2 linked regions of the Arabidopsis thaliana genome follow. The protein of the gene in region 2 interacts with the protein of the main gene of each other region in a pairwise test. Each region holds a gene or a part of one and is shown on either strand. Other genes may lie near its edges. The genes, in order: AT5G10290 and VAMP723.

Evidence for each region.
Region 1: the proteins of VAMP723 (region 2) and AT5G10290 interact in a protein complementation assay, tested with the Arabidopsis thaliana proteins (one large-scale study listed by BioGRID).

What each region holds. Positions count from the first base shown.
Region 1 is NC_003076.8:3,223,116-3,240,728, forward strand, and holds AT5G10290 (leucine-rich repeat transmembrane protein kinase family protein), read right to left. Parts: upstream 15,694-17,613; 5' UTR 15,436-15,693; intron 15,284-15,435; exon of another isoform or gene 15,085-15,283; 5' UTR 15,057-15,084; coding exon 14,966-15,056; intron 14,840-14,965; coding exon 14,707-14,839; intron 14,627-14,706; coding exon 14,555-14,626; intron 14,461-14,554; coding exon 14,317-14,460; intron 14,205-14,316; coding exon 14,133-14,204; intron 14,047-14,132; coding exon 13,981-14,046; intron 13,902-13,980; coding exon 13,831-13,901; intron 13,732-13,830; coding exon 13,591-13,731; intron 13,489-13,590; coding exon 12,752-13,488; intron 12,662-12,751; coding exon 12,347-12,661; 3' UTR 12,143-12,346; downstream 1-12,142. Other genes in the region: CDKC;1 (cyclin-dependent kinase C;1), read right to left, coding at 45-162, 279-399, 473-545, 635-744, 837-866, 968-1,058, 1,186-1,267, 1,447-1,559; MYB92 (myb domain protein 92), read left to right, coding at 9,661-9,793, 9,869-9,998, 10,100-10,841; MES5 (methyl esterase 5), read left to right, coding at 16,569-16,931, 17,045-17,176, 17,328-17,609.
Region 2 is NC_003071.7:14,033,346-14,049,376, forward strand, and holds VAMP723 (vesicle-associated membrane protein 723), read right to left. Parts: upstream 10,045-16,031; 5' UTR 9,548-10,044; coding exon 9,358-9,547; intron 8,823-9,357; coding exon 8,681-8,822; intron 8,595-8,680; coding exon 8,474-8,594; intron 8,275-8,473; coding exon 8,230-8,274; coding exon of another isoform or gene 8,155-8,229; exon of another isoform or gene 8,108-8,154; coding exon 7,952-8,107; 3' UTR 7,693-7,951; downstream 1-7,692. Other genes in the region: RLP28 (receptor like protein 28), read left to right, coding at 1-892; AT2G33090 (Transcription elongation factor (TFIIS) family protein), read right to left, coding at 1,870-2,616; CSLD1 (cellulose synthase-like D1), read right to left, coding at 3,149-4,100, 4,183-4,606, 4,699-5,074, 5,148-5,528, 5,617-6,046, 6,152-6,699; SAR1 (synaptobrevin-related protein 1), read right to left, coding at 10,440-10,589, 10,716-10,778, 10,971-11,091, 11,185-11,326, 11,779-11,992; RALFL18 (ralf-like 18), read right to left, coding at 13,176-13,487; PKT3 (peroxisomal 3-ketoacyl-CoA thiolase 3), read right to left, coding at 14,469-14,578, 14,670-14,753, 15,041-15,149, 15,242-15,365, 15,533-15,629, 15,724-15,856, 15,974-16,031. UniProt on the Arabidopsis thaliana protein: Involved in the targeting and/or fusion of transport vesicles to their target membrane.

The sequences.
Region 1 (17,613 bases), on a different chromosome or scaffold from region 2:
AATTTTCAAAAGAACTGCGCTTTCAGCAAAGATGAAACGCTGACCTCATTTTTCCCAGGTAAGATTGGTTTTGCATGCAAAAGTTCGGCAAATATGCAACCAACCGACCACATGTCAATTGCTGGGCCATATTTTGTAGCCCCAAGTAGTAATTCAGGGGGCCTGCCGCAATATATGTAAATCAGCAAAGTAGTAATAACAATGAATTAGCAAAGACCATAATATTAAGACTATCTATGTATATCATGTAAACTTTGAATGACGATTTTTAGGCTTACCTATACCACAATGTGATGACACGATTTGTAAGATTTCCAGTATGATCATGAGAATACGACCGTGCAAGCCCAAAATCAGCCAGCTTTAAATTTCCCTCATTGTCGATAAGGAGATTTGAGCCTGGATCAAAATCTAGGTTAATATGCAAGTAAAGGTGATAACCAAACATCAACATTGTATTAAGGAAAATCACCTTTTATATCACGGTGAAGCACTTGATTCACATGACAATAGTGAAGCCCGGTAAGCAATTGCTTCATGTAACACTTTTAAATGGATTGAGTGTTAGAATAAAGTTGAACAATAAGTATGAAAAAGGCTAATAGAAGTAACGAGCTATTTAGCCGTGCAATACCTTAATTTGAGGAACAGTAAATCTCAGTCCAGGACGATCTGCTAGTCCAGTCAAATCATGATCCATGTACTCAAAAACCATGTAGATGCCACCCTTGTATTTGTTATTATCTATAGGTGAAAAAGCCACAACCTTTAGTTAAGAAGAAATCCTCAATAAGCAGAAACTAAGACAGTAGTTGAAATCACTTTTTTTCACAAACCTGGCTTTCCTTGGTCATCCCTGTCCCGACCTTTTAAGAGACAGAACCATTCAAAACACAAAATGTTTAGACCTCTTTATATAGAAATAGCTAACTTAATTCAGTGCAACATATGTGTTCCTTAAACAAACCTGGTGAAGTCACAATCTCTTTCAGCTGAATGACATTTTCATGATGAAGCTTCTTCAGAATCTTTATCTCTCTAATAGCTGTTATAGGAAACTGCATCATACCAGTTGTAAACAATGGGTTACAATTCCTATCGTAAACAAAAACTTGCATCTGTTCTAAACATAGTGAGCATCATAAAAAAAACGTATAGTCCATATAAAGTGAAGAATTCACATACCCCTTCTCTTTCATTGTCCATACGTATCTTTTTGAGAGCCACAATTTCACCAGTTTTGATTTCTTTAGCCATGTAAACTTGACTGCAACAGCAAAACAACAACAATCAAATCTCCTAAAAGCAACACAACATAGGCATTGTAAAAGCCTAATCATACAATCAAAAATCGCTTCAAAGGCCAATAATTTATCAATCCCAAGTAAAAATTAAGCCTTTTGAATAACCAAAGAGTGAAATTGAATTAAAGAGAAAGTGAATAACCCGTAAGTGCCTTCACCAATTTGTTCGAGCTTCTCAAAGCAATCAACGCTGCGAGATCCCCAGATTGGAGGAGGTTCCTCGAGATTTAGCTGCCCGAATGATGCCATCGCCATCTTCGTTCCCGGGAGTCCCACTGTCGAACAATATCTTTTACTCCGATGATCAAATTACGTCTTTCTCGATCGCTTTCCTTTTCTCTCAGACAACTCTCTCTCCGTAGGTTTCCCAGCTTATTTATGTAATTAGCGTTTCGGTTTAAATCTATGAATTGTCCGGTTTGAACCGGTCTAACCCTGAACAAGCGGTTGGTGTAAATTAGCGATCATCCGTTAAATTTAAATAAAATAATGAAAGAAATATCAAATATCATTTTTATTGACCGGTTTTCAAAAATACCACAACAAAAATAATCTTTTCAAAAGTATTTATTAAAATACAAACTCCATTTTTTAAAAATTGGAATTATGGGATTATGTTTCTTATGTATCTTTCTCATCATAAAAGACTTGACAACAAAATTGTTTAACATGCCAATGCCAAGCACACTCACAAGTCACAAAAAAAAAAAACAAATTGCAATTACAAAAATCATACATTAATTGTTCTATAAAGTAAACATTCATACATTTTGATTAATATTTATTTTTCAAGCTTAGATATATTATAAAGAAAGAGAAAAACTAGTGGACACTCGAACGCCCTAGATTTACTGCTCGAGATAAAATTTGATTTTCGTAAATAAAATTGGAGGCGAATTTGAGAAATCCCAAAAATAGCGGGAAAATTAAGAAAATCACTTAGGTTTTCCAGTGGGTTCACCGTCTGTGACAAGAGGTGCGATAGGAACAGATTACTCCTGAAGTGTTAGCGTGCTTATCACGCCATTTAACCGTGTACACGACCATTCTGGTTCAAAGGAAGAACGAGAACATTCGAATCTCGACCAAACCCTAGATCTCGGTTTCTTTACCTACAGGAAGACACGATTCACTATCTCCCTACTCATTGTCAAACCCTAACATCGGCTATTGGTCCTAACTCCTAACTCACCCGATTCAATTTAGGTTTCATGCTAACATCGGTGAAGGACGGTTATTTCGGAAGTTTGATTTTGGTGTGGGTAGGTCTAATTTTGGGTTTTGTGATTTCTAGGAAAATGTTTCTCTATGGTCATTCACTTGAATCAAACCCTATACATAAATCTTCCCTTCTTTTGTTTCGTATGGATGATATTTCTTTTATCTCTTATGAATCATGCTAGGTTTTTTTTCTTGTAACCGATATTAGAGTTCGACTTGGGCGATGGGAAAGATAGATAAGTATCTTAAGTATGTGCTATATATGTTTCTTGAACTTGATCCGTTGATGTTTTGGTTTTGTTTAAGTTTGTTGGTCCACAATGATATGAAAGATATATAGGCTTTTTCTTCTTAGTTTTATGAACTTACTATATATATAGGGAATCTGACTGATGGAAGTTTCAAAATGAACTAATGATAAAATAATGTTAAGACTATATATAAACAATGTTCTCATCCAATCCACTGTCTGTAGAAGAAATTGACTTGCATATTTGGTTCATATTCCACAATGGGGTTGAGATATGATCCTACTTACTGATTTTTCTGTCTGATGGTGTAGTTTTCAAGCTAACCAAAACATTCCTCTTCCAAGCTACTTTCTTCTGTGGGATGATGACTACGTAGTGGAGTTGTTCTACCATCTCCTACTATTCTGGTGATTTCAGTGATATTTTATTCTTGTGTTTCTTAATTCAAGGGAGTGGTCAGCCATTTGTGACTTCTATGTCCAACACGTATAACTATCCCACTTTCTGGTCCATAAATGATGCAAAGCAACACATATTTAAGTCTACATTGGCAATGAGAAGCCTCTGTTACCATGTTTCAGTTTCAAGCTGTAGGAGTTTGCTATCGAAGGTCAGCAACCAGAGTTCAATTCAGGTATCTCATCTCCTCTTGGGGTAGCTAGCAAAACTGCAGGATTCTAAGTTGTAATAATTCTGATGTCTTGTTGTTGTTGTTGTTGTTGAGTGCTGCTTGTTAATGTGTTGATTCACATGTTTGCTTCATGTACAAGAGAGTTTTCCAGATTTTTTATCATCCTAATTGTTAGAAAACTAAACAGTTGAAATAGCAAATTAGCAATGATCTAGTCCATGAGAGGATTTACCTAATATAATCTATCTGAGGGTATAAGTCAAAGGTATTCTGAAAGATCTATCTGCCCACAATATTATATTGTGGAAATCGTCAAATTTATAGACTTTTATGCAAAGTTTTATTGATTTTTTTTTTTGGTAAGAATTATCTTAAGTTGTGGTTGGCATCTGCAATCGTTGTGTTGTTCACATCCATCAGTCTACAGTTTACTAACAGATTCTAATCATGCATCTCAAACTGTATCATCATTTGTTTAGTGTTATTATTATTTTTGGATGAAATTCTTAATTTGTGTTTTTCCGTGTCTCTGAAAAAGATAGGGACAATTGTGAAGCTCAAAAGAATAGGTTAGTGTTTACTTAATGTTAAGTGCTACTAATCTAGAATAAATACAAAAGGTTTAGGACAAAGAGCAGATCTAAAGGTGACTTATAAGGTTTGCTCCTGGATAGCTTTATTTTCTTTATTGGAACTCAATTTAAAGACCTGACTTAATTACCAACCCCAACCATGTGTTTTAGAGTTCGCACAGCTTTTTATGATGCTTTTGTCAAGATTATTCTATTGTGTATCCTGTTCTTTACGTATATGTTCATGCAGAGATCTTCGTACTTTTTTGAGTCAGGCCATGTGGCTTACTTTTTCATGCAAAAAGCTTCCCCGGTTTTGTCTTTAAACTCTTACACTTTCGTGAAAAGATAATTCACTTTAGCCTGTTTGCTTTAGCTACTACCTTCTTAAAAGCAACAATGTTATTTTTACAGGGTCTTTCAGATTTTCTCTTTGTCTTCTGCTTGATGCTTGCTGGTGAGTGAAACGATGAACTCAAAGAACATAAACGGCGAGTGGTGTGGCCACCTCTCTTAGGTTCTGAGGTTTGTTGGTGCTTTTAGTTCCCATATCTTTGTCTAATCTTTAACTAGTTTTACTTCATTCTATACAATTTTTATTTAAGCAAATGTGGTTTCTCCATGCACATATAAACTTACAATGATAAGAGTATTTCAAAATTGTATGGTTTTATCACTGGTTTTGAGCTATATTGATTGGTGATGTTAAAGGGACTGTCTTGGGAATGTCATATTTTCAAGCACATAAATCATGAAAAAGTTGACAGAAATCTACCTTTCCACCTTTATCACATGACTGGTAAAAGTTAACAAACTTTATTCAGCTGTGCCTTTTTTGTCCCCCATTTGTCAAAGTGAAAGCTGGACTTTTTATACTTGTTTAAGATTTATTTACTGAAATAATCTCGTTTCTTTGGTTTATAGTAAACAATCTTGTTTGTTTGGTTTATACTTTGCACTAACTTCGTCTAGTTTTCCTCGTAAAACTCAAATTTCAAAAGGTAGTTTATATGTTCAAGAAGATATATGTTCAAGTTGTCTAGATGTTAGTGCAGATTTGTGAAACTAATAAAGATTTACATACATTATTTTCAACCATAATAATTGCCTATCTGTCTTAGTATGTACTGAAGGTGGACCTTTGATGAAAATCCCTATAAAAAGCTTTTAGTGAGAAGGCACCACTAACTTGGTGAACTCAATCAAAACCGACTTGATCATAAAGCCACTACTAATCCTTTTTTCAGTTCTAAACACTCTTTTTTTTCTGTACCACTTTGCAATAGATGCATGACAGATGATGCTTATATACCATGATGAGGAGTGGTAGGTTTATTTCCCATATATATAATTTTCTTTCTTCTAATTTGATGATTAAGATATATGTTTATATAATATACCCAAATAAACATAATCGCTGGCTTGTTCTATGATGCCTAGTTAACTTTTTTTTTAAACTACTTTCTTATTTGATGATAGCTACTAGTTCTTCCCCTCTGAGCTCATGGGTTTTTCTGTATGATGATTTCAGTTTGGGCTTTTTTAGATTTGGTCTAACAAAATTTAGGTTAAACAATCCTAAATGTACAACATGCTATCCTATAGTAACCTTCTCTTCTAATACATGCAGTGGGCTCAAAATTAATTGTTTGAATCTATTTCTTGGCAGGAAGTATCATTCAAAAAAATATTATATGAATACCTTAAAAGGGTCTTGGAGATGCAAATTCTTGAACAAGAATAGAAAGAGATGTGATCCTATTGGCTTTCCTGGTAAAACAATCTTCTGAACTTCATAGTGTATCTTCTGAAGTGGTTCTATTCTTGAAAATTTAGAGAAATTTGTCAACAATGACATCGTGAAATCATAATTTCTTTCATTTCGTGATTTCGTCTATGTTCTGAACTTGGTAGATACTTGTGATGGTTTAAATCCTGAATTATTGCTTCCTCTAGATTTAGTTGACACACTGGTTACATGCACGGATGCACCTAACTAAGTACGAGCTAGATTACCTCTTGTCATTGAGCAACTTTTTTTGTAGGAAAGACCCATTAGGTATAGGTACACATTCCTCTATAGTTTTCCTTCTTTTTGCATATAGTGAAACTTTATTCGTATTATAATTCCTCTTCATCTGTTTTTCCTTTTATATATGGATACATTTTACTTAATGATAGATACTATTAATGCATCCAATATGTGTAGAGCTCGTGGATGACATATATATTTTTCCGTTGTTAGCATCCATGTCTTTCACTGTCTTGAGCTGTAAAACGATGTCCACGACAAAAGAAGTTCAGCCACCTAAAATGACATTTAGTGGTTGATTGTTAACAAAAATACCGCTTAAGACCACACAGTTTAGGGCATATAATATTTGACTGACTTTATATAAACTAATGGTAGACATTCTTGTTCTTTCTTTTTTTCTTATTTGTCATGTTCTCGAGGTTTCTTGTGACGATGCTTTTTTTCTAGCAGATGTTCCAGCAATGTTGGGCGTAACGGTTGAGAAAAGTATGTGCTAATTTACTATTCTAAATGAAGAGTAAGCAAGAAGATGTTGAACCGGTGATTTCTTGTTAATTTCTCTTTTCAGATTTGAATAATATACATGAGTTTCAAAAGATTAATGCCTTTTAGATCATTATCATATAAAACTAATCCTTGACTATGCGTAACCATCATTAATTTGATTACTACAGATAAAATAGAAACCAATTTCTGTATTCCAATAAGATTGCTACCATATGAACAGTTGAAAAAGAGGATGGTCATGAAGATTATAGGTTTATATACGTGTGCATGCGTGTGTGATGTTACACGTGTGTCTCATATTTGTTCTTCTTGGTTTTACAGTCACCACTCTCGTCACTCATTGGAATTTCATTCAGGAACCTAACCTATGCTGATGATATTCGAATCACGAGCATCTTGGTTAATTTCGTCTGACTTCTGTAAGTATCAAGAGTTTAATCATTACTGCAGATAAATCCTCATACACAAACTTATAATTTGTGTTTTATCGATTTTGTGGAACTTAAAAGTTGGTTGCAAAATGCTTGGTATCATAAATTGATTAAAGGTATATTTGCAGATGATCTCGAGTTTTGCTTTTCACATTTACATTCAATATATAGGTATAATACAAGGGTTAAATATTTTCATTCGTTACATAGAAAGTCCGAGCTTTTAGACGCGTTGGTTTGAAACTTAGGAGAAGAAGCAATTCAGTTGTTTAGCTGACAATGAAAACCAAGTTGTTGTTGTTTTTTAATTAGAGGAAAAGAACGGTTTAAGTGACATCACATATTTCATAATTAATACTTTTGTAAAAAACCTATAGTGCTTTCCTTAATTCTTTAATATTTTCTTCACCTGCTTCCTCCACTCTGAGAGGAACCCTAATTCAACAAGCAATTATAATCTTTCTTTCCCTAATTTTAATTGAGTTTTTGTAAGAATTATTTCGTCTTTTTTTTTTTAATTTGTAGGCTTCTGTTACCTAGGTCTGATGATACTTCTAGAGTCGTAGGCTCAAATATGATGCAACGAAAACCATAGTGTACATCCAGATGCTACCATGGAGTTTCAATGTATAATGAAATAAAATTAAGATAATGGCTTTTATTAATCCTCTTCTGATAGATGGCTTTATAATCTTCTATATATATAAGGAACGTTATAATTTTTGGGTTCTCTAGGCAATGTTAGTTTGTCAAGCTTCATGTATATCTGTATGTTTATATTTGCAGTGAAGGTAGAAAATGAGTTGAGTGAAAATATGTTAATGCAAATCCATACAAAACCTGCTCAGAGAGTCAGAGTATCACATTTCACTTTCACCTACAGGCTACAGTTACTGAATACACTAAAATATCTTCTAGAAACTGACAGATTTGATGCCCTCATTTGGTAAAACATCTTCTTGTTTGATTTTTCTCTATTTCTTAATTAGATTTTGTTTCTTGATATTATGTCGTTCAGTTTGAATTTTGTGCACGGAACCTGTGATCTTCATTATATAGAAGACACAGAAGAAAAAGACAAGAGCTCAAGATATGCCATTGGGTGCAATACTTAGGCTGAGGGAGAAAGTCTTATAGGTTTTAAAGATGGTGGAGATTTAGATCATTTTCTGCACCCACCTCTCCCCTAACCAGCTCCTCCCTAGTGGTCAAAATCTGTCATATCAAGCCTGTCACCATCATCAATAGTAAGTACTTCTTCTGATTATACCCAAACTTGCCCCTGACTTACATTGACATTCTTTCTGATCTGTCCATTGCTATTGCTCGCTGAAATTTCATTGAATGCGCTTAGGAAATAATTAAGGATGATTTTAAACATAAGCTTACAAGTTTTCTTATGTATTGCCACAAAATGATACAAAACATAATCTTACAAGTTTTCTTCTAACGATATAGTGTATGCTTTTCCTGTCGGTTTCTTCATTTGGTATCTTTTCTTCCTAGAAAAATGCATTTTAGGGATTGGCAATCTCTGTAAGTAATACCTTAAAATTTGCTATATATGGACTTAATCATGATGTGTCAAACAAGAAATTTACACGGTCATAACAAACCCACTCTGCATCTTTTTCTTTTACACTATTGGACCACTTTACATCTTTTACTTGCTTTAATAATCTCTCAGGACTTTTTTGAAAGATTCTCATTTTCAGCGGCAAGCTCTTAGGGTTCATTGCCTTCCGTTTTGTTTAGTTGGTTGATCATAGCTTTAATCGGTATGTAGAAAAATACAATAAAAATATAGCTAATATGAAATATTAAATGCATAAACTAATAGGCCATGGAAATGGATGATGCGAGGAAAACCTAATTTTGCGTGCCAGAGGAGATGTCTCTTCTTTGGCCACCCTCTTGTTGCCATGTGTTGTTGGCGCTGACTTCTATATTTCACAAATTCTTTCTCATTTTATTTGTCATTCCAATGATTAAAAAATACAACCTAAAAGTTTAGCCCTCCTGTCAAATATCCTTTATTGCCCTTCTCCTCCATCATCACCTACTCGGAGAAGATCTTTTATGGATTTCATAAGAAAGATGATCTAACCTTCTTGCTTTTAGTTGATCTGTGTTTTTTTATGAGCTGAACCATTCAATAACCTAGACTAGAGTTTTGGATTGTGAAGAGACCAAGCAATAACTATGTGTTGTTGTTATTCTTCTTGACAAATGCAGGGGTTTGGTACTAGGGCATAGTGATGGCAACTAATGAACTGCTTCCCAATTAAAGACAAAAAACAAATCGATTGTTATGTGTTTGTCCGTTGGAGACGGCTGTTCCCGAGATGATACTGATGTTGCTTTAAGACAAGAGGAAGAATTTACATTGAATGATTTTTATCACACTGGTAAAGGAATGCGTATGTGAGAGTATAAAAGAAAATGATTAGAAAAATGGAATTGAAAGGTGAAAGTGACATGGTTGTTTTGGTAGGCGAATAGGAAAGAAGCACGTGGTGAATGGACATGAAGAGAAAAGGATGCTAGGTTTAATATAAATTGGAATAAGAAGCAGTTAGTGGTTGTGAAGGAAGGAAGGAGGCAAGCAACCAAATCTCAGAGACAATTATAACAGTATAGAGAAGGAAGAAAGAAAAGAAAAAGAAACCGTTGTTGATTTAGATACAGAGAAGAGAAGATCATCTAACATGGGAAGATCTCCTATCTCTGATGACTCTGGTCTCAAGAAAGGTCCTTGGACTCCTGATGAAGATGAGAAACTTGTCAACTATGTTCAAAAACATGGTCATAGTAGCTGGAGAGCCCTTCCCAAACTCGCTGGTAATGCTTTTGTGTTCTTTCTTTCTTGAAAGCTTGTCTTAAGTCTAAGCTTCTCATGTGATTCTCTCTGTGCAGGTCTTAACAGGTGTGGGAAGAGTTGCAGGCTAAGATGGACGAACTACTTGAGACCAGACATCAAGAGAGGGAGATTCTCTCCGGACGAGGAACAGACTATCTTGAATCTTCATTCAGTTCTTGGAAACAAGTAATTAATCTTGTGATGATTGTTTTGATGTTTTAGTCAACGGTTTTGTTTGTGTACCAGATTATCTTATACTGATTGCTTATGAATGATGATGTTATAAGGTGGTCAACGATTGCGAATCAGTTACCAGGGAGAACAGATAACGAGATCAAGAATTTCTGGAACACTCATTTGAAGAAGAAGCTGATTCAGATGGGTTTTGATCCAATGACTCACCGTCCAAGAACCGATATCTTCTCCGGCTTATCTCAGCTCATGTCTTTGTCTTCTAACCTGAGAGGCTTTGTTGATCTGCAACAACAGTTTCCTATTGATCAAGAACACACTATACTCAAACTCCAAACCGAGATGGCCAAACTCCAATTGTTCCAATACCTTCTTCAACCGTCTTCCATGAGTAACAATGTTAACCCTAATGACTTTGACACTCTCAGTCTCCTTAACTCTATTGCCTCTTTCAAAGAGACCAGTAATAATACCACCAGCAACAATCTCGACCTCGGTTTCCTCGGCTCTTATCTTCAGGACTTCCACAGCTTACCTTCCCTGAAAACCCTAAATTCCAACATGGAACCATCATCTGTTTTCCCCCAGAATCTTGATGACAATCACTTCAAATTCTCCACTCAAAGAGAAAACCTACCCGTGTCTCCAATCTGGCTCTCGGATCCATCCAGCACAACTCCTGCTCATGTGAATGATGATCTGATTTTTAACCAATACGGTATTGAAGATGTCAATAGCAATATCACATCTTCAAGCGGTCAAGAATCAGGAGCTTCAGCTTCAGCTGCATGGCCTGATCATCTATTGGATGATTCTATATTTTCCGACATTCCTTAGCCTTCTTTTGTCTTTACTTTCAGGTATGTACTTTGGAGGAACTCAAATCAAATTTACTCTTGGAATTGTGCTTGTTGGAGATTTTTATTTGCCTATCTATATATATATAAATACTGTAGAGACATCATATATTTGTAACTCATGTTGTAGAATGTACAGTACAGAGATTTCATACTCATATGCATATGTTGTTGTCAATGTTCTTTAGCATATGTCTCTGTGCACAGAGTTTATATATATATAAGATTTTTGTGAAATGGATATCATTTGTAGTTGTAGTTGTAGTTGTATGGTATTTAATAATTAGGGTTTTTGCTGATTATTTGAATCTTTTGTTTTACACTTCCTTCCATGGTGATAAGTGATAACATTCGGATCATGTATGAATATAGATGTCATAACAAATAATAGACAAACTGTTATTATGTGAATGAAAACACACAAAAAAAATCAAAGAGCAGTTTGTGTATCTTTAAGCAGAAAATCAAACAAATTAAAGCTAGAGACTAGAGTTTAAATATGTTAACATATGAAAGACCACGTATTTTGCTCTAAAACAACACATATTAGAGCTTGAATGTTGAGTTGTTTCATTATATCATTGGTTAAGTCTAAATGTTGATTTGATTGCCAAGAAGATCGATCAAATAATGGAAGAAGTGAAGAAGCATGTGATCGGCTGGCTAACGATAATATAAAAAGGCCAAGTAGAGATTTAATAATAATTAAAAGACAAGGCCCTTTAAGTATGTGATGTCAGATAAAGTGATCTCTCATTAGGTTTTATAGAAAAATCACTCATTGAATCTATTTTATTATTATTAATTTTGTTATAATGTTGAATTGACACATAATCGAGGCTTGTAAAGATCTTGTGCAATTAGGGAATTTACTTCATCCGTATCCAAATGATAATGATGTATAGATTTTTTTTGTCAATGGATAATGTATATTATTATCCATTCTTCAATCTTAAATATTTTTGGATATTTTCGATCATGAACATAAAAATCTTTAAAATACATTGCTATTGTATCTAACACAATTTAGAGATGATTAAAAATATGTTAATTTTTTGTTCTTCTTGTTTTCTATTCAAATATGAAAACAACGATTTTTCAATAATAAATATTAATTTTCATGTCAGAGAATACAGAAATCTTTATTTTGTGATATAATTAAAAAAAAAAATCATAAATTGAGTTGGCAAAACTAGGACAACTTGGGACAGAAAACATGTATTTAAAAGCCCATATTAGGCCCATATAAACGACAACTTTGTAATAGGCCTGACAGTATAAGACGACAAAAAGGTTTCTTGCGGTCAACGAAAAAAGTCAACAAAACATCATAGTTCTTTTCATTCACAGAATTTATTAAAGTCAAAAGATACATCATGAAACAAAAACAAGATTTATACAACTGATTTTACTTCTTCACCGAAGAACAAAACAAAAAAGTGAAGTTGGCAACTTTACAGTAAACTCAAGGTTTGATGTTTTTGGTCATCTTCCACCAGATAATTCAATGGCATCTTGGTTATGCATAGAATCTTCACCCCAATCAAATCTCCTCTGCAACCGTTCAAACTCATGACGTCTCGTGACTTCCACGTTTTGCCACTCTTCCCATCTCTCCGCAAGCCCTTCTCCTTCTAACATCCTCACAACTTCAGACATCACTGGTCGGTCTTCTGGTGAACCTTGTGTACAAAGCAAAGCCACTTGTATCATCATCTCTACTTCTTCTTTTATATACTCTCCATCCAAATTCTTATCTACGATTGCTCCTAATCTCTTCTCTCTTTCCAGTTTCTTCACCTGTCCAAAACAAAAAAAAGATCCAAAAGATTACGGTCAATAAAGCTTGAGAGAAGCTACTTCGAGGTAGGATTATTTGATTATACATACGTGGTCAAGTAACAAGACATCATCTTCTTCCTCCAAACGTGAAAAGTCTATTGCGCGTTGTCCTGTAACAAGCTCAAGAAGCATAATTCCATACCCGAAAACATCGGTTCTCTCTGATGATTTCCCTGTTGATAAATATTCTGGTGCAATGTGACCCATTGTTCCTCGAACTTGAGTAGTCACATTAGTCCTTCTAACATCTACTAGCTTGGCTAAACCAAAATCACCAACCACTGCTTCAAAATCTTCATCTAGTAACACATTAGCTGCTTTCACATCACGATGTATGATCTTCGGATTGCAATGTTCATGAAGATACTCAAAACCACGCGCTGCTCCTAAGGCAATCCGTTTCCTCGTCTCCCAATCTAGAACCGGGTCGCCTGCTTTGATCTCTCTCAGACGATGTGCAAGACTTAGATTCTGCATGAAGGGATAAACCAAAAGGCGTTCTGTTTGTGTGGTGCAGAACCCGATAAGACGGAGTAGATTCCTATGAACAGCTACACTTATCATCTCTACTTCCCTTTGGAAAGCAGCATCTCCACCAGGACTTTCGAAATCCGTCAATCTCTTCACAGCAACTTTGGTGTTATCCGGAAGCACTCCTTTGTAAACTTTCCCAAAGCCTCCTTGACCAAGTACATTCTTTTCGCTGAAGTTATCTGTCGCTAACTGGAGCTCTCTCCATGCAAACCTTTTCAACTGTCCAAATGCAATTCTCCTGTCCACTTCACCTGAAAAATAGTAAAGTTCCACAAATCTGCATATCAATACATCATAACATACCGAAATACGAAATACGAAAGAAAGGTTTCCCTGTAGGGTATATTACAGACCTGCAACATCCACAAACACATCACGTCTATATCCTTTATGCCTATCCTTGCAGAACAGAAACAACAAGATTCCAAAGAGAACAACTGTAACTCCAGCAACAACTCCAGCAATAATGCCAGTTTTAGGCTTGCTTGAATCACCTATCACCGCAGATTAGATGTTTTCAGTCTTTCATACTTTTGAAATGGTTGAAAATAAAGAAAATGCGGTCAGAGCAATCGCAAAGTGAAGTAGTTTACCTGAATGGGCAACCGCGGATACACAAGGGTGAGGTTGACGACCGCCACAATTCAAGTTGTTTGACGTGAAACTATAGTCGATTAGAAACAGATCAAATTACTGCTAAAGAAATGAGCATGCTAGATTAAACTTGAAGTAGTCAAACATACTTATATTTTGGGATCTCAAACAGACTTTGAGGAATCTGACCACTGAGACTATTGGAATCAAGCAGCCTGTAAACATAGTTTCAAACAATGGAATTAAGACAAGGATGCTTCCAGAAAGATGGTAAGCATAAACACAAAGAACAGTAACTCACAGGTTTAACAGGTTTGGAAGACCAGTGAGTGACTCCGGAATAGTCCCATTAAGTTTGTTCCTACTCAAGGTCCTGTTTAGCCAACACACAAGTGAATAAAGACATGAGTAATCCTTTTCTACGTCTTAAAAATGTTTTAAAACATGTGCAAGATTTAACAGCATTGTGAGGCGGAACTACTTACAAGAACTGAAGTTTCTTGAGATTACCGATAGTGGATGGTATACGACCAGTTAGCTGATTGTCCTCCAAATCCAAACTAGTCAAGCTAGTCAGATTTCCAAAGTCTTCTGGTATTTCACCCGTAATTCCATTTCCCTTTAAAGTACTATATATAAAAAGAAGGTAGCGAAATGCTCACAACCTAATATCTATGTTCTAGGATTTCAGACAAAAAGAGAGACTCAATCTAAAGCACTTACAGAGTCTTGAGATTTTCTAGGATTCCTACTCTTGAAGACAAGGTTCCCGAGAAGTTCATATCTGACAATGTACTGCAATCACAAATGACATGAATATAAATCTTCTCACATGGAAACAACATTGACTAATTCAGAGTTGTCATTAAACTTACAGAGAAGTGACAAAGTTTTTGTCATCACAAATAACTTGGGACCAAGTGCAAGGATTAACTTGGTTCTGATTCCAGTCACTTAGCTGATTCGGTAATGCACGTAAGGAGATCCTCAACGCAAACAGTGCATCCCCTGAAAATGGAAAAGCAAAGAATCATAGAGTTAAATCTTCAACCTGAACAAGCTCAGAAATTACCAGAAACGAAACAAGAAATGAGAGCAACAAAATAGCAGTTGAAAAGTAAGAAAAGGCATCACCTTGAGCATCTGGAGACACAAATGAGCATAAACAGGCAAAAAACAAGAGAGTAAAAGCCATAGCCATCTTCTGCAAGCTGAACATTCTCATCTCATCTCATTAATTGAGCTGGTTCCATCTACAAAGACACATTTAATAACATTACAACAAAATCTTTTTCTTACTTACTTTTAGTGGATCTGACACATTACAGAGAAAGATTAATGGAGAGAATCTCTTCAACTATGAATCAAAGACTTTCTAAATTCAACCAAACTTAGCTAAAAATAGGTCTGGTAAAGAGAAATTAGGGATAAGAATAAATTCCACTATTGAAAGGTTGAGACTTTGCATAGAAAAAGAGTCAAACGGATGCAAGAACACGAACATGCTCAATTTCCCAGAAAGATTAGTGACCAATTTTGTCAGACTTGATAACAATTCCAAATCTCAAAAACAGAGCAAATAAAAGAAGGAAAGAACCTCGTACCCAAGGAGAAAATCCCAAAAGAAGGAAACAATTATCGCTGATCGAAAGATTCAGTGCGGAGAGTAGAACCAAAGACAACAAAACAGAAAAAAGAGAAAGTGAAAAGCTTCGATTTTCTTGTCTAGTGGTAGACTTTGCGTTTTTTGGCAATTTCGCAATTATCACTCTCGCTCGCTAATGGCCTTTGTCTGAAAGAAAAGTCCAATGTTGGTCCACGAACTGCTTTTTCTCCGTGCAACTTGTAATTTCCCTAAATAACTAATGAACTTTGATAATGATGTTTGGAACGATGTGCTATTTAATTACGTGGATGTAAAAGAAGACTAACTAAATTGTCTTTTTCTTTTTTCCCTCCTAAATCTACTTATCAACTCTCGTTGTTTTTTACCTGACAACCATTGTGTAAATTGAGGAATGATTTTCGACATCATTGACAATGAGGCTATAATACAGCTGACTGAAATGGCCAACTATACACCACTCACTAAGACGAAATGGCCAGCCTAAAAAAAGGAAGCGAATCTCCCTGTACAAAGGAAAAGTTAAAAATTGGTACCAAAAGGCAAAAGGAAAAGGTTAAAATGAGTCAATAAAAGAGAGTCACAGTCACAGTGTTTCACGGCCCATGGGCCGGCTAGACTCAAAGAAGGAAGGGAAGCTGTGAAGATTCTCAGATCAATATGAAGATTAGGTCGGTTAACACTTAACAGGCACGTGTTTATCGTGTTCAATTAGTTCCGTTAATTAAGCCTTTTTTACGTCCATCTAATCGCGGATGTCAAAATCTTACATGTGTTGGTCCGTTATTAGATTGAAACTGTGATGTACTCATATATTTTTTTAAATGTCCAAAAAAATTAATGTAATTTAGCTAAGTGTGATTACAGAATTCTGCTTTATTTATTTAAAATATATCTAAATACAAGTATACAAAAGTATACAACAGCCGACCGAGGAGACTAGTAAATCTGAACATGTGTCATAACATAAGAAGTTATTAACAGCGTAACGTATATGAACCTTATCCCACTATCACTATATAATAATAACGTCATACTCATATCCCAACTTTATCACGCTATTCTCAAACAAGCAAAGAACCTTAACCAAAAAGAAAACGTCTACGGAGACATATGGAGAGGAAACATCACTTCGTGTTAGTTCACAACGCTTATCATGGAGCCTGGATCTGGTACAAGCTCAAGCCCCTCCTTGAATCAGCCGGCCACCGCGTTACTGCTGTCGAACTCGCCGCCTCCGGGATCGACCCACGACCAATCCAGGCCGTTGAAACCGTCGACGAATACTCCAAACCGTTGATCGAAACCCTCAAATCTCTTCCAGAGAACGAAGAGGTAATTCTGGTTGGATTCAGCTTCGGAGGCATCAACATCGCTCTCGCCGCCGACATATTTCCGGCGAAGATTAAGGTTCTTGTGTTCCTCAACGCCTTCTTGCCCGACACAACCCACGTGCCTTCTCACGTTCTGGACAAGGTTAACAATAAAATAACAAAAATAATTTTGATACTAGTAGTTTTTTATAATTTGACCAACTTATCTTAATACCATGAAAATAATTCTTGGTTTGGTTGATGATAATAATAAAGTATATGGAGATGCCTGGAGGTTTGGGAGATTGTGAGTTTTCATCTCATGAAACAAGAAATGGGACGATGAGTTTATTGAAGATGGGACCAAAATTCATGAAGGCACGTCTTTACCAAAATTGTCCCATAGAGGTATTGTTCCCACAAATCTCTAAAATTTGTTACGCCAAAACAACAAAATCTATATTCAAACTATGTGCTAAAGTTTTCGAATATGAATCATCGTATGAGATGATTATTAATTAGTTTTGGTGTGTGGTTACATGATGGTTACACTGTGAAGGATTACGAGCTGGCAAAAATGTTGCATAGGCAAGGGTCATTTTTCACAGAGGATCTATCAAAGAAAGAAAAGTTTAGCGAGGAAGGATATGGTTCGGTGCAACGAGTTTACGTAATGAGTAGTGAAGACAAAGCCATCCCCTGCGATTTCATTCGTTGGATGATTGATAATTTCAACGTCTCGAAAGTCTACGAGATCGATGGCGGAGATCACATGGTGATGCTCTCCAAACCCCAAAAACTCTTTGACTCTCTCTCTGCTATTGCCACCGATTATATGTAATAAT
Region 2 (16,031 bases):
AAGTATTCCTGACACATTATGTGCCGGGGACTCTCTTCAGACACTCGACATTGGCTTCAATCTAATATCTGGGACGCTTCCAAGATCTCTCCTAAACTGCTCGTCTCTAGAGTTTCTTAGCGTTGACAACAACAGAATCAAAGACACATTTCCCTTCTGGCTCAAGGCTTTACCAAATTTGCAAGTCCTTATCCTAAGTTCAAACAAATTGTATGGTCCTATAGCTCCTCCTCATCAAAGTCCTCTCGCGTTTCCTGAGTTGCGGATATTTGAGATAGCTGATAATATGTTTACTGGAACCTTGTCACCAAGATACTTTGTGAACTGGAAAACATCATCACTCACGGTGAATGAAGATGGAGATTTATATATGGTATACAAGAATAATGCATTCGGTATAGATTCGTATGTGTATAGGGATACTATAGATATGAAATACAAAGGGTTATCCATGGAGCAACAGATGGTCCTCAACTCCTACAGTGCCATTGATTTTTCTGGGAATAGATTAGAAGGACAGATTCCTAAATCTATTGGTCTCTTGAAGGAACTCATTGCACTCAATTTATCAAACAACGCATTTACATGCCATATTCCTCTGTCTTTGGCCAATGCTACTGAGCTCGAGTCATTAGACCTGTCAAGAAACCAACTCTCTGGGACTATTCCTAATGGACTCAAGACCCTCTCGTTTTTGGCATACATAAATGTATCTCACAATAAACTCAAGGGTGAAAACCACAAGGAACACAGATTATTGGGCAACATAAATCCTCCTTTGAAGGGAATGCAGGGCTTTGTGGTCTTCCTTTGGAGGAAACTTGCTCTGGAAAGAATGCGCCGCCAACACAACAACCTAAGGAAGAAGACGAAGAACAGGAGCAAGTGCTGAACTGGAAAGCAGTGGCAACAGGATATGGGACTGGACTGTTGCTTGGATTAGCTATAGCTCAAGTCATCGCTTCATACAAGCCGGATTGGCTTGTTAAGATAATTGGTTTGTTTCGGTTTTGCTTTTGATCTTTGAATGCATGTCAAGTCGTTGTTGGTCTTGTTATGAAGTAGTTACTTTTATGGTTAATGTTGGAATGATGAATTTTCAATAGTTACATTCATACACGTACATATCTATCTCTTGATGTCATATACAAATATGAAACAGAGGAGTGGGAAAAAGCAGAGGAAAATAGCTCAAAAGCTCCCTGAGAATATCAAAAAGCTTTATTAGACCCAAATATTCTCTTAAAACAAAAATTGCATTTGAAGTATTGTTTATCTTCCTTCACTCACAGAGGAATCATGATGAACACGCCATATGGTCTCCCCAAGAAGGTTTGCTACCGAGATAACTGTAAGTTTAGGAAAATAGTTCTGCTCTGACAATGGAGAATAGTGTTTATCATCACCTCTTGAAACAGTCCGCTCGATATATCAGGAGGGCTGTTTCCGAATAAAGACACAAATGCATAGAAAACTAATAACCATTACTGTTGATTTCTTAACTTTTTTAGTTCCATGGATTCTCTTAATAGAAGATCTTTGAGCTTATGTTGGAAAACCATTATGCAAATGAGAAACTCTCTCAAGTATTGACTTATTGTCTCTCAGTTACAATCGACAACTGAAAACAAATTTTCAGAACAAAACTCTAATTTCATTGATTGCCTAAACAGAAGAAATACACACTGAACTTGAATAACACAAAGCTAAGAGAGATTGTGAAAATCCTTAATACATACATATTCCTCTCACTGTTAGGGTTTGAGTAATGTAATTGAATTAGTGACTACAATACTCTACTTTAAGCAAAAGAATAAGCAACCAACCAACGTTTTCAAGTTACAACCTTTTCAATTCCCTAGTGACATTTTAGCCTTGAGTTTTACGGGACTCTCTGAGTTGTTGCTCTCTGATACTCTCCCTCCAACATTGAAGAAGTTTTGAAGCAGAATTGCATATTTTTCGGTTCTTGTGTTTTGTAAGATGCTCTAGCCTAACCATGAGCTTCCTTGTTTCCATATCTCTTGCGCTGATGGGAAACTCCAAGAGCAGAGTGAGGGTATCTACACACATTGATGTCTCTACTTCAGACGCGAGTATTCCCTTTGCGTTGGCAAAATCAGCAGATTTTTTGGCGATCTCGAACAGTTCCAACGTATCCGTGTCGTTCTTCGTCAAGACAGGACAACTCTTAGGTTTGTCAGATACTTTCACAGGCGGCTGCTTCTTCAACTTGATCAGCCTCGATGTTTCTGGAACAGACTTGGAAAGGCCACGCTTCTTCAAAGTTTGCTTAATCTCTCCCGTTCCAGATCTAGGGGTTTTAGAAAGTTTCAGAGGTAGAGCCGATTGCTTCTTCTCTCTAGTTACTTCACCAGTCTTAGATCTCTCATCGTTGTTCTTCTTCAACACCAAAAACTCAGTCTTTTTCTTAGTCTCTGCCGCAAAATCACGAGATATCTGATGTTCATTCTTCTTCAAATCCGAACATGCTTTAACAACATTAGGTTTATTCAGAGTCAAGTGAAGAGCTTTTTTGCAAGTATAAGCGTCGCCTCTTCCGTTGGAAGAAAGAGTACTCATCCTGGAGGAGTAGAACATACCGTGATCTACCATTCTTATCTAATTAGGGTTTCACTCTCTCAAATTTGGTTATCGAATTATGGAACGAGAGAAGTAGAGTGTCCGATATTATATAGAGAGCGTAAAAAGTGGAGACTTAAACGAAAAAAGGAAATTAAAGGAAGCTTCCTTCAGGTCCACGCAACGAAACAACGTCGGCTGATACTAATTTCCTTTTTTCTTGTCAAGTTCCACGAAGGGTAAATCTGTCAGATCAGGTATTCAACGTTCATGACCAACAAGGGTAGTTTCGTCAAATATAGTATATTTGAAAATTCTCTCTTTTCGTTCTCTCTTAATCTGATCCTCTGTTCTGTAAGAAGAAACAGAGATTATAAAAGCCATGGGACTAATGAAAAAAAACTGTTTGTTTCTGTTCCATGTAACAACGGTGTGTATCAAAAGCTAACACGAAGTACAGCAAGAATTGGTCTGTTTCAACATAAATTTACATAAACCAAAATTACTTTTACAAACAAAAAAAAATAGAGTTAAAAATCCTCAGTTTTTACATTCTGATCCAAATTTACACTGAGATTCCTCCACTGCCTGAAACATCATCTGGAGGACTAATGGTGATCCAAAGCAGCGAGACGGTAATCGACACAAGCCCGGACCAAACATAAACAATCGTTGGAACCTTTCCTCTTCGACCCATCAATCCTTTAGCAAACGGATACATATGAGTCAAGACCCATAAACTAAAGAATATTCCTCCCATTAACTTGCCCCATTGCGGAATCACACTGTATATTGTTCTCGAAGCTCCAATCACTATCGCAACAAGGTTGACTATGATGATTGTAAGCGGCATGATGAATAAGCCTGTCCATTTCACAATGTAAAGATCCGCAAAGATGTCGTCTTCGTCTTCTCCTGAGGCTTTCGATGTCAGGGTGAAGGAGATTTCGATTCCGGCTATAACTTTGAGCAAACCTTGAACGACTGCTGCAAGATGAGCGCTTGTGCCTCCGATTAACCAAAACTGTTCATTTCTCCACCATTCTTCCAGTCCGATTCCCGACCATTTGACCTCGAGGAGTGAGATTAGGGTTAGGGTTACGGTGATGCAGAGAAGGTAGGAGAGGAAGTGGATATCGAGGCTCTGGACGATGAATTTTCCGCTGAAGAGACAGAGAGCAGGGAGGAAGCAATAGACGACCAAGAAGATGGAAGTGAAAGGGTAGATCCCGACATTGAGGTAGGCGACTCGCTGGAGAAACTTGAGCCTTCTGGTGGCGAACATGGCATTGTTCTTGGAGAAAAAGATTTCTACAGAGCCTGTGGCCCAACGGAGAACTTGATGGAGACGGTCAGTGAGATTGATTGGAGCTGTGCCACGGAAAGCATCACGTTTTGTGATGCAGTAAACGGACCGCCAACCACGGTTATGCATACGATAACCTGTCACCACGTCTTCCGTGACCGACCCGTAAATCCATCCGATTCTATCTCCCCATTCAGTATTGTCTTCATACCTGAAAGGCCAAATAAACTCAACATTTTTAACTACATATCCATTTATACTAACAGAGCATATCTCTTTTTTCAAAACGTTACCAGCAAGAAATGACAGCGATGGCTTCAGCCACTGTTGGAGCATCAAGGGGAGGTCGTGGCAGGAGCAAAGCACCAGGTGGTCTTCCGTTTTTAACCGACATGTGATCTGCTAGAGGCCGTCCTTGGTACTCTGCAACTGGAATAGTGTCTGTGAACATGGTCGAATTACCAAACTTTTTGGGCAGACCAAGATCTGGATCATCATTAAGAGGCTGTGTATCAGACTCTAAATCAGACGCTTGGGACGTTTGGGATGCTTGGGACTGAGTCCGGACATGCATAGCTGGAGCCTTTTCCTGACCAAACACGCCTGAGTACTCATTGGCTCGAGGTGGGTTGAATCCATAGAGAGCATACCTTCGGAACATACACCCTGTTCCAACATAGACAGGACCTTGTAACCCATCTAATGCTCTCATGTTACCTGTTTCAGAACCGGAATAATGTTTAAGTTATGGTGGCTTGTAACATAAGCATTACAATTTTGCTGTGTTGCAAATCAATGTAACAACTCACCATCGAAGAAGACAGTATTGTGATTTGCATATCGATCTGATGGGTCGATTCCTTCGAACCGTTGTGGAAACTGAATATAACAGATCCTGTCACCACCTCGGTCCATCATGAAACACATTCCTTCTTTGATAGCTTTGGAGTTGTAGATGTAGTGATCACAGTCCAGATTGAGGATAAACGCGCCATTGGATAATATGGCTGAAGCTCTAACCATACCATTCATAGCGCCGGCTTTCTTGTTGTGGTCAAAACCTGGACGTTTCTCACGCGAGACATAAGCAAACATAGGTACACGAATATCAATCCCTGTGAAATCTAGCGCGCCTTCATTCGGTCCGCCCATCACCGGTTCAAGATCAGGCACTTTGCTCATGATCTACAAAACATTATGTCAAGTTTGACAAGTTTTCATGGTTTTACTTGAAATCAATGAAGTTGATGGTTCATACCTGTAGAATTCCGGCGTGATCTCCTTTTGAATGATCAGGTTTAGGTTCAAACCATGTCCCTGGCCAATGCGTACCATCAGCCATCCACGTTGCTTTTACCACCTCAACCCCATCTGGCGGCAATACACCCCCATTTTTCTCTCGGGCAATTCGCTTCTCCTTGAGCTCTTCTCTCATGTTGAACTGTTCAGCTCTTTTCTTGATTTGTTCTGGAAGACCATTGATCCTGACCTTGAATTCGTCATACTCACGCTTGATCCAACGACGATCTTTGACGAAATCTTGCCTTTTCTTGTTTTTTGTTGGGTCCTTTTTAATGCTAAAGTAACTATCCGGGTTCCGTGGCTCTATATCATGTTTTCTGCAAAATGGCACCCAATACTGCAAACAAAATTCAAAACCATTTAGATTTTTGCCACCATCTAATAGACTAGTTAAGATACAGAGGGAGAGAAAGCGGAAATGAAACCTCAGCAAAACGAACAGCTTCAGCCATAGCTTCAAAGGTGAGAATTGCACCACCATCGTCAGAAATGTAAGCAGAAAGCTTCTCAATTGGATAATCCACAGCAAGGATCGAGAGAAGGGTGTTTGCAGTGACTAAAGGCGGTTCCTTCTCAGGGTCAGCCGTGGAAACGAACACATCAACACCGGGAAGATCAGAGCGACCAGTGGGATTTGACGGAGAGGGCTGCTCAAACTTGTCATGCAAGGCAGCAAGGTCAGTAGCTCTATTTATAGGGTTTAGCTTCGGAAGAATGTCAAGAATCCAAGAGAAAGCGAACCAAATCTCGCAGACTATCGATAGTCCCCATAACCACATTGCATCCTCATTAGGGTTCGTAATACGCCACCAAAGGAAGAAGAAGACTATCACAAGACGAATCACGATTAATAACCTGAAACAAGGGGACTAATTGTAAGATTTTGATGTTCTGTAATAGACATCAATAAAAGAAGCAGAAAATCTTGAGGGGTTTTAAAATGTGAAAACAAACAATCACCTGTAGGGACTAAGAATTTTGGCCGGGATCTGAACTTTCCTCGTGAGAGGTTTCCATGGCTTGTCTAAGAAATCGGACTTGCTAACGCCACCATCATAGGTATCATCCTCTTCTGACCAAAACGCGTTTCCAATACCGTATTTTCCTTTAGATTCAAACAACCACCTGTTATGATCAAAATCTCCCGTCTGGCTCCTCAACAACATTGATTTGTTATTTGATTTCATGACAGACAATCTCCTCTCCAGCTTATTCCCCATCTTGGGCCCGTCTCCTCCTCCTCCACCTCGGTTAGCATCACCTTTAGACTCCGAGGTGGAGCCAGAGGAGCCAGCAGGTTGGTTGTCAGGTGTTGGAGGCATGAGGACGGTGTAGTTGATGTAATCATTTTGGCCGGAGTAATCACCAGAGACGTCCATGTCATCGTCACGGGAGAGGCTAACAATGCGACCACTGGACGTCCGGCGACCAAACTTGACAGCTTGTGGAGGCCGGCTTAAGGAAGAAGATTGTGAATTTAAGGTCTTCTTGGGTGGACTTGAAGCCATTACAATTATGGAATTATCTTGTTTTGGGTCGTTTGGTTTCTTCAGAGAGAAACTGAACCCATTTTTTTTTATTTTTTTTTGACAAACCTGATTTAGGAAAAGAGGAAAATAAGAAAACAGAGGAATGAGTTTGGAAGGAAATGTAAAAGCTTTAGAATTTCAACGGTTAATAGATCCTTTTCTATTATAAGGAAAACTTAAAACTGAAATCTTTTGAGTTCTGAAATCTCCTTTCTTTGTGCTTTGCCTCTCTCTATCTCAATGAAGGTTGCTTATCAATGGTTAAAAGATTGTGTATAACATTGTGAGAAAACTAGATAGATCAAATCATCGAAAATGATAACAAAGATACACATAAAAACACTCTCTCTAATACAATATCAGACTCTAAAGCTAGAAACCAAGGGTTTAGCTTTACCAAATTTCCCTAATTTAACAAGCATTGAATTTCACATAGGAGGGGAATCAGAAACAATACCAAAGCAGGTCACAGGTGCATTTGGATTACTCATCTCTGTCTGTTTCCTTAACAATGCATCGCAGTCGCAGCTATCCATCGGTTAGACGCCAAATCACCTCCAGTCCAGAAGCCTTCGGACCGGCGTCGGAGGTGTCTCCGCAGGTCGTTTCGATTTCAGTAGTCGAGAACTTGAGCGCGTCGTCTTCAACATGGCTAGCCGACTAATCGTTTAGAAGAATCGAAATCAGACGAATCGTTTCCGTAATTAGGGAAGCAGAAGAGAAAGGTTCGAGCGAGGTGATGTGGCAGCAACGAAAGAAACGAACTAACCGGAGACTCTGCTGAAGGACGAAAAAAAAAAAAAGACTCTGCTGAACCGGTCAGACCAAACAGACTCGTCTCCAATCTAGGCTATGTTACACCGTTATCACCATCACTGCAAATTCGCAACTAGAGCCTTCATTAAGACATCAACAGACCAGAGCAATTTGTAAGTTGCCAATTACATATTTAAATCTCGTCACAGTATTGGTTCGCAAGAATCAGTGTCAGTACCAGTAATAGCAAAAACATTCATACATATATATGGCCTATACAAAACCAATTTCAAAGAAGAAAGGACATACATATATGTATAATATTTATGTACAACCTAAGTAGAAAGGACATAGCAGAAATTAGAAATTAGAAACCACAAAAAGAAAGCAGCACAACGAACTGAATGAAGATATTCTCAGAGATCTTGGGAAGCACAGAGCGCAGTCGATAACGCCGGGAAGAAATGTTCCAGACTTATTTACCGCAGTTGAATCCCCCACAAACCGAGAGGATGATGATGAGAATCAAGGCAATGATAATTGCAAGGACAATGAGTTTTATCTTCATGTTCTGAAACCACTTCTTCCTTTTCATTTGAGTTCTTTTTATATAGAAAGCTTGCGGCTGTGACTGTGACAGTTTCGAGTTCAATTAAAAGTTGGAAACCCAAGACAACATTAGTAAGAGAGAACTGGCAACTCAAGCATATCTATGTGTATGGAACTTAGAACCATATGCCTAAGAGAACTAACCTCTGAACTACCCAGCATCTCACATATCACACCACGGGCAAGAACCTGCAAATGAATGTGTTCCACAATGTAAAAACGGTCAGCATACATGCCTATACAACCCAGAACTGGACATTCCCCTCATCAATTTAAAGGTTAAGGAACCAAAAGATCATGACACTTAACTCATACGAGCTTAACTCTACTGGAAATAGATTAAAACATAAAATTATACCATTAACAGAAAAAAGGGTCAGAATCGAACCTTCTCAATGTTTTCCATCATTAAACTTTTAACTTCAGACACTTGAGCTTTAGCTTTAGCAAGGTTGCTAATCTCATCAGGATGATCCATGCAATACTGCATGTGCTCTTTCAGATTCGACCTTTAGAGCAGCCAAAAAGGAGTCTGTCATTGACATGAATAATACAAACTTCTCAATACCAATCATATAGATCAAAAAACACATACCCAAATTCTTTATTCAAGCTATTTGCTTGATCAGTTGCAGCCTTTTCACCACCATATCTCTTATAAAAATCCTCCTTCACGCGTTCCAAGAAAGCCATAGGAATCTCCCTCCCAGCAGAATCAACTGCAACAACACAATAGGCTGCACAAACATATCCCTCATAAGAAACTTAAAAAATATAATAAAGAGTCCATATGATATGGACCATATCCAACGTCATCAAAACCCAACTAAGTTTAATTAAAACAGAGCAATATAATAAACACAATACACCAATGCAATTTACTCGAGCGATATATATCCACAAATTTCCCAAACAACTCTCATTTGAAAAACCAGCCAAATTCATGAAAACAAAAGCTACACGCAAAGAAGCCAAGAATCATAGATTCATAATAAGAATTGCATAGATGCTTAAATAGATCCACCAAACATATCACTGATTATAGATCTAACATCAATTAATTATCAAACCCAATACATAACTATTCCTGAAATTATACCAAACGGTAAACACATAAGAACTCGACTCAGATAAGTCATAGAGATATACCAAACATAAGAACTCGATTCTCAAATGCTCAATTAGGTAAAAAGAAATCTAATCCAAACAATGAATAAATCGACTAATCGAAAACACAATCACAAACACATCACGAGCAATATTTTGACTCACTGAATCCATTTTCGACGAGGTCGTTGAACGTATGACCATCGCAGTTGTAGGTAAACTTGTTGTTCGAGGAAGGAAGATTCTCAAGGTACTGAGCAGCGACAGATGTGAAATTGCCTTTGAAATCTGTGAACTCGACGAGGATTACGGTGCCGCGAGCGATGAAACTGTAGAACAACGATTGTTGCGCCATTATTTTGGTTCCTTAAAAAACGACGCGAATCTAATTCGATCTTACGGGACCGATATTAGAGATTTATATCGGCGAGCACGAAAGCTTTAGAGATCTAGAAAACTTGACGCTGAAACGCGTAGAGAATCGAAGACTAAGCCAAGTAAAACCACTGACCAAGACAACACGTTTGTCCGAACTTGCATTTGTTCTTACATGCTGCACCACAGTTTTAGTCGACAGGAAGTGGCTGATTTGCCGCAATAAGGAGATCACTTTCATTTCCTGCAAATACACATAACCGCGACATCAGCCGGAGGTGGCTCCGCAAGTCGCCTCGATTTCAGCAGTCGAAATCTTGAGCTCAGCATGGCAATCAATTCGAAGAAATTCCAAAATCTCAGAAAATCAGGCGAATGTTTCCGAAATTAGGGAAGCAGAGGAGAAAGCGTTTGAGCAAACCCTTAATGAACTAACCGGAGACTCTGGTGAATCGGTCAGACGAAACCGTGTTAATTACATATTCATCTCCATTTAATATTAACCGGCTGTGGACTATGCTTATACCTCACTGCAATCCGCAACTAGAGTCTCATCAACAGACCAAAGAAATTAGTAAATTGCCAAGAACAAGTATCGTCCAAATATTGGTTTGCAAGAATTAGTGTCAGTACCAGCAATAGCAACATTGCAGATTGTCGAACATGCATACATATATGTATAATATATATAGCCTATACAAAACAAATTTCAAGAAGTACAATCTAAGAAGAAACATATAGTATGAGAATATAGAAATCACAAAAACAAAAACAAAACAAAAAGGTAGCACAACGAACTGAATGAAGATATTCTCAGAGATCTTGGGAAGCACAGAGCGCAGTCGATAACGCCGGGAAGAAATGTTCCAGACTTATTTACCGCAGTTGAATCCCCCACAAATTGAGAGGATGATGATGAGAATCAAGGCAATGATAATTGCAAGGACAATGAGCTTTATCTTCATGTTCTGAAACCACATCTTTCTTCTCATTTGAGTTCCTTGTGTTCTAAAATCTTGCGCCTGTGATAAAGTCGAGTTCAAATTTAAAGTTAGAAACCCAAGAAACAACAATCAGTAAGAGAAAGCTGCAAACTCTTGCATGTCTCTGTGTGGGTCTATTGACTTTGAACCATTTAGAAAACAAACCTGTGAGCGAAGGTTTTCTGTTTTGTCAACCAAAAGCTCAATCTTCTCACCACGGTCAAGAACCTGCAAACGAATGCATAAACGAGTTAACAACAGAATATGTCTTCACAACCGAGAATAAAACATTCCTCTCTACAGTTTATGCTTTACGAATCATAAGATCCTGGTACTAAAGTCATACAAGCTGAACTCTGTTCGAAAAGGTTTACAACATAAAACTATATCGATAAAAAGAAAAAAGGGTCAGAATCAAACCTTCTCAATGTTTTCCATCATAACACCTTTAACTTCAGACACTTGAGCTTTAACCTTAGCAAGCTTGCTAATCTCATCAGGATGATCCATGCAATACTGCATATGCTCTTTCAGTTTCGACCTTTAGAGAAGCCAAAAAGAAGTCCATCAATAACTATGCCCATGAATCATAGACCCTTTTCAATACCAATCAAAGAGATCAAAAAACACATACCCAAATTCTTTATTCAAGCTGTTTGCTTGAGCAGTTGCAGCCTTTCCACCACCATATCTCTTGTTGAAATCCTCCTTAACTCGTTCCAAGAAAGCCATAGGAATCTGCCTCCCAGCAGAATCAACTGCAACAACACAATAGGCTGCACAAACGAAAACAAAACCGGTCCATTTTAAACTCTATATTAAGAGATAAAGCAATAGATTCATCAATATATCGCTGATAAGAAAGTTAACACTATCATAAAGAGACCATATCCGCCATCAACATCACCCAAAACCCAATTAGGTTTAGTAAAACAGAGTTACATAAAGAACACAATACACTAATGCCAAAAACTTCATGATATCGAAAGCTACACGCAAATAAGCAAAGAATCAATAGATCCAGAACAAAAATTGCAAATATTCATTGATAGATCCACCAAAAATATCACTGATTACCATAGATCTAACATCAATTAATTATCAACGCCAATACATAATTATTACTGGAAACTATACCAAACATAAGAACTCGATTCATATTTCTCAATTAGGCAAAAAATCTAATTCAAACAATGGATAAATCAAAACACAAACAAGCTACGCTTACAGATCGAGCAATATTTTGACTCACTGAATCCATTTTCGACGAGGTAATTGAACGTGTGACCATCGCAGTTGTAGGTAAACTTGTTGTTAGAAGAAGGAAGCTTCTGAAGGCACTGAGCAGCGATTGATGTGAAATTGCCTTTGAAATCTGTGAACTCAACGAGGATAACGGTACCACGAGCGACGAAACTGTAGATCAACGATTGTTGCGCCATTTTTTTTACTCAAAAACGACGCGAATCCGATTTTACGGGACCGATCTCAGAGATTTATATTGGCGAGCACGAAGGCTTTAGAGATCTAGAAGACTTGACGCTGAAACGCGTAGAGAATCGAGGACTAAAAGAGAATACGGTGAAAAAGAAAAGTGTAGGAGAAATCTTAACGTAGTTGAAGAAGAAAAATCAAACCCTTGAGTTTTAGAGGGCAAAAAAGTTATATTTCAGAAAGATTTATGCAGATTGTGCAAATTGAAACAATCTTGAACTTGAGGACCTAAAAGCAAATTCAAATAATCAACTTGTGGGGTTTTAAAAAGTTGGTGATGTTGGTGTAATGGTATTTTGTTATTTGATAGTTTCAACGTATTTTTATCAGCGAAAATGAATTTGGATAAGCTAGTTTGAACTTTGACCTTTGAATAATTGGTTCCTATATTATCTAAATCTACTATTAAAATTTAAAACTTAAAAGTCATCAAAGATTATTACATGTGGTTGGATAATAATTTTATAAATTGTCTTTTTTGGGGTATTTGTAGAAAATTTGGCATATTTGGGGTTTTGGTGTAATCTAAATTAAATGACTAAATAAGAATATTTTCAAAGTTATAGGAAAGTTCAATGGTCTAGTCACCATAATAAATGATAATCTACAATTCTACATGCATCCCATGTCCGCTCCTATTAATTCAAATCTATTTTTTTCTTGATTTAATTGTACTTAGAGGTTGCTTACTATTGTAATATATATACCTGAATTTCACGTGTACACTTCTAAAGTGTATCTTATATTTACAACAAGACTATATTTTGTATTTAAAGTTGAAATTGGTAGGTGTGAATGTGTGATAGTTTTGGAGGAATGGTTTGGAAATATATCGATCGTTTAAATAAAATAAAACAAGAATATGGTGCGAGAGAAGGGATCAATTTGTTTGAACTTGACCGCAAAAATACTTTACGATGAGATCAATTTTCACTCGTCAATCATTTGGTGAGAAAAGGATGACAATTTCTAAACGAAGTTTATTCTAACTCTCTAGGAGATAATGCCTCAAAGGCTTACAAATTGCAATAAAATATAATAATAAGAAATGTGATTGGAAATACTAATTAAAAATAAAATAAAACACACCAACGAAAGGAAGAAGAAGAAGAAGAGAGAGGTGGTTTATGTTTAATTTGTAAAGCGGTAACATCCTGTAGCGGCACTGCAACCACGTCGGTATTTGTTATCCGGTTTATCCGGTTTACCATCTGGTTTGGCTGGTAAGTTTTTCTTCAATGCTTCGTAATCTATAAATCTCTTAGCTTGAAGTATCCTATGGCTCACATCTACACCTGAACTCATCTTCATGATCTCTTCTTTTTCTCCACCGTCCATGCAATTGTCACATTTTACCGGACGAGATCCGACCACAAGCGCTGGAAGCAAAGCTGCCGAGATGATCATCACAGCGATGATCAAGAGCTTCATGTTATTCATCATCGAGACTTATCAAGAGAGTGTAAAGTTGAGAGTAGTAGTTGTTGTTTCGTTTACGTTGAAATGGTTTGTGATGAAACACTTGGTTAATCTACACTTTTATAGAGGTTAATTTTTTTTGTAGAGGTTCATCGAATATTTGACCAGATTCTTACTCGAAAAAGAAAATCAAAATTACTCCGTCAAATTCATGGAATAAGAAATGAATACGGTGCCCAAAAAAGATGAACCTACACAAATAAATGATTCAGTGGATTTGTTTTGCTCTGTATAGTGATCAAAGTCGGTCAATTCGCATAATTAATTGGTCAAAGCCTCAATAATGATTTCCATATATGATAACATTGATGGCTCGTTTTTAACACAAAACTGAGGGGATGCATTGGAACATGATTATAACGTCTTATACTGCCGTTATAACGTCTCCGGTATCAAAGACAAGATACTATAACGAAAAGAAAAAAAAATACTAGAAGGAACGTTATATAAATAGCTATGAGAAAATAAAATTATGGGGTGAGAGAGGCTCGAACTCTCGACCTCAGGATCACTCAGTAGCTATGAGACCTACGCGCTAGCCAACTGCGCCACCACCCCAACTGTTACTATTAACACTGTTTTAGTTAATGAAATTCAAGGTAAAATCATGAAACACAAACAAAAGGCAGAACCCTTGACTTTATGAACGTTTGACTTATCCATCGAAATATAGAAATGGCTGCCACCCAAAAAATCTAAAATTTCTAGAAGCAACAACTGATGAAATTCGAGAAGAACAATATTCTTACATATAAAAGATTTAAAGATTATCCCCCTTCACTTAAAAAAAATACTAAACACATGACCTGGTCAAGAACAACACAAGACTCAGGCAAACATTGGTTGTGTGCTTTATTCGAAACTATAATAATATCTGAAGAAAGTGACAAGAAGACCAGAAAAGAGAGAGGTGAGGTGAAAAACGGTTTTGGTGCATGGTCCTCTCTAGCGAGCGTCCTTGGACAAAAGACCTTGCGCTTCAACTTTCCTTGCGTTGCGAAGCTCATCAACTCCATCTCCTCTCTCAAACACAGCTGCTGCACCCATCCCCGTCCCTGCCAGAGTTTACCAAATCAGTAAAACCATCCCTCAGACACATATTTCAGACACCAAATTCACAATGAATTATTCGAGTGAGAAGCATACCAATGCACATTGACACTACTCCAAAACGGCAGTCTTTACCACGGCGTTTCATCTCGTGCAACAATGTAGCAACACAACGCGCTCCTGTGAGAGTTTTAACAAGTATTAGCAACTGTTCATGAGCGTTTTATAATTATATAGACACAATGTAGACATTGATATGCTTTGAAAAGGACGGACTGCGGCAAGATAGAGCTCTTGTAAGTTGGTTAAAGAACCATTAGTGAGGACAGAGTTTATAAAGATATATCTCGGCTGTGGATTTCTTAAGGTTTGGTTGAGAGTTGAGAGATTCTCATTAATTCAAGTCTCTATGGTTTGGTAAATTGGAACAAGCTTAACAGTTTTAGTCCTGTTCTTAACAGATATACCTGTAGCGCCCAAAGGATGGCCTATGGCCATTGCACCTCCGTTGACATTGATTTTCTCTGGGTCAAGTCCCAATTTGTTACGGCAATAAACAAACTGAGATGCAAATGCCTGAACACACAAGGATTCAAACAGATGGTCATCATCAGAATGTGCGGGAAGAGATATGTGATAAGAAGATCATGAAATTGTTTGCTATATACCTCATTGATCTCAAACAAGTCGATGTCATCAAGTTCTAAACCAGCCGCCTTAACTGCAGCAGGAATGGCAACTGCTGGACCGATACCCATGATTGCAGGGTCAACACCAACTGCAGCAAATGTCCTGCAATATGTCCAATAGTGTGCTACTTAGAAAAAGCCAAATACAGAAAGAACAATGTATTTTCCACGTATACTAGCATATCTGTGTAAATGGAAATCACAAGCCTCTGCAGTTTTTTCGGTTTTCAGACTTCCACAGTCGTAGCTTTGTAAGTAATTATTACCCACCTGAATACACCAAGAACGGGAAGTCCTTTTTGCATTGCAACACTTCTCTTCATTAGGAGAACCGCTCCTGCACCATCACTTACTTGGCTGGAATTTCCTGTTTGCGACAGAACAAATGAAGCAATGGATTTAAAATTGTGATAATAAGAACTGTGGTTTCCATAATGAAACAATTGATTCGGGAAAAGTACCAGCAGTAGTGGTGCCATCCTTCTTAAACACTGGCTTCAGCTTCCCAAGAGAAGCAAGAGTTGTGGTTGGTCGGATACCATCATCAACAGAAACTGTAATGGGTTTCTCATCACCAGTCTTCGGGTCAACAAGCTGAAATTTAAAACACACGTTATTGACTAATACTAGAACATGAATGAAGTTCAGTAACTAATCCACCAAGAGAAGTCTTAAATGTTACAGTTATTGTATGAAGGATCTGAAAAATACCTTGGTCTTAACAGGAATGATCTCATCCTTGAATTTACCAGCAGCAGTAGCAGCAGCT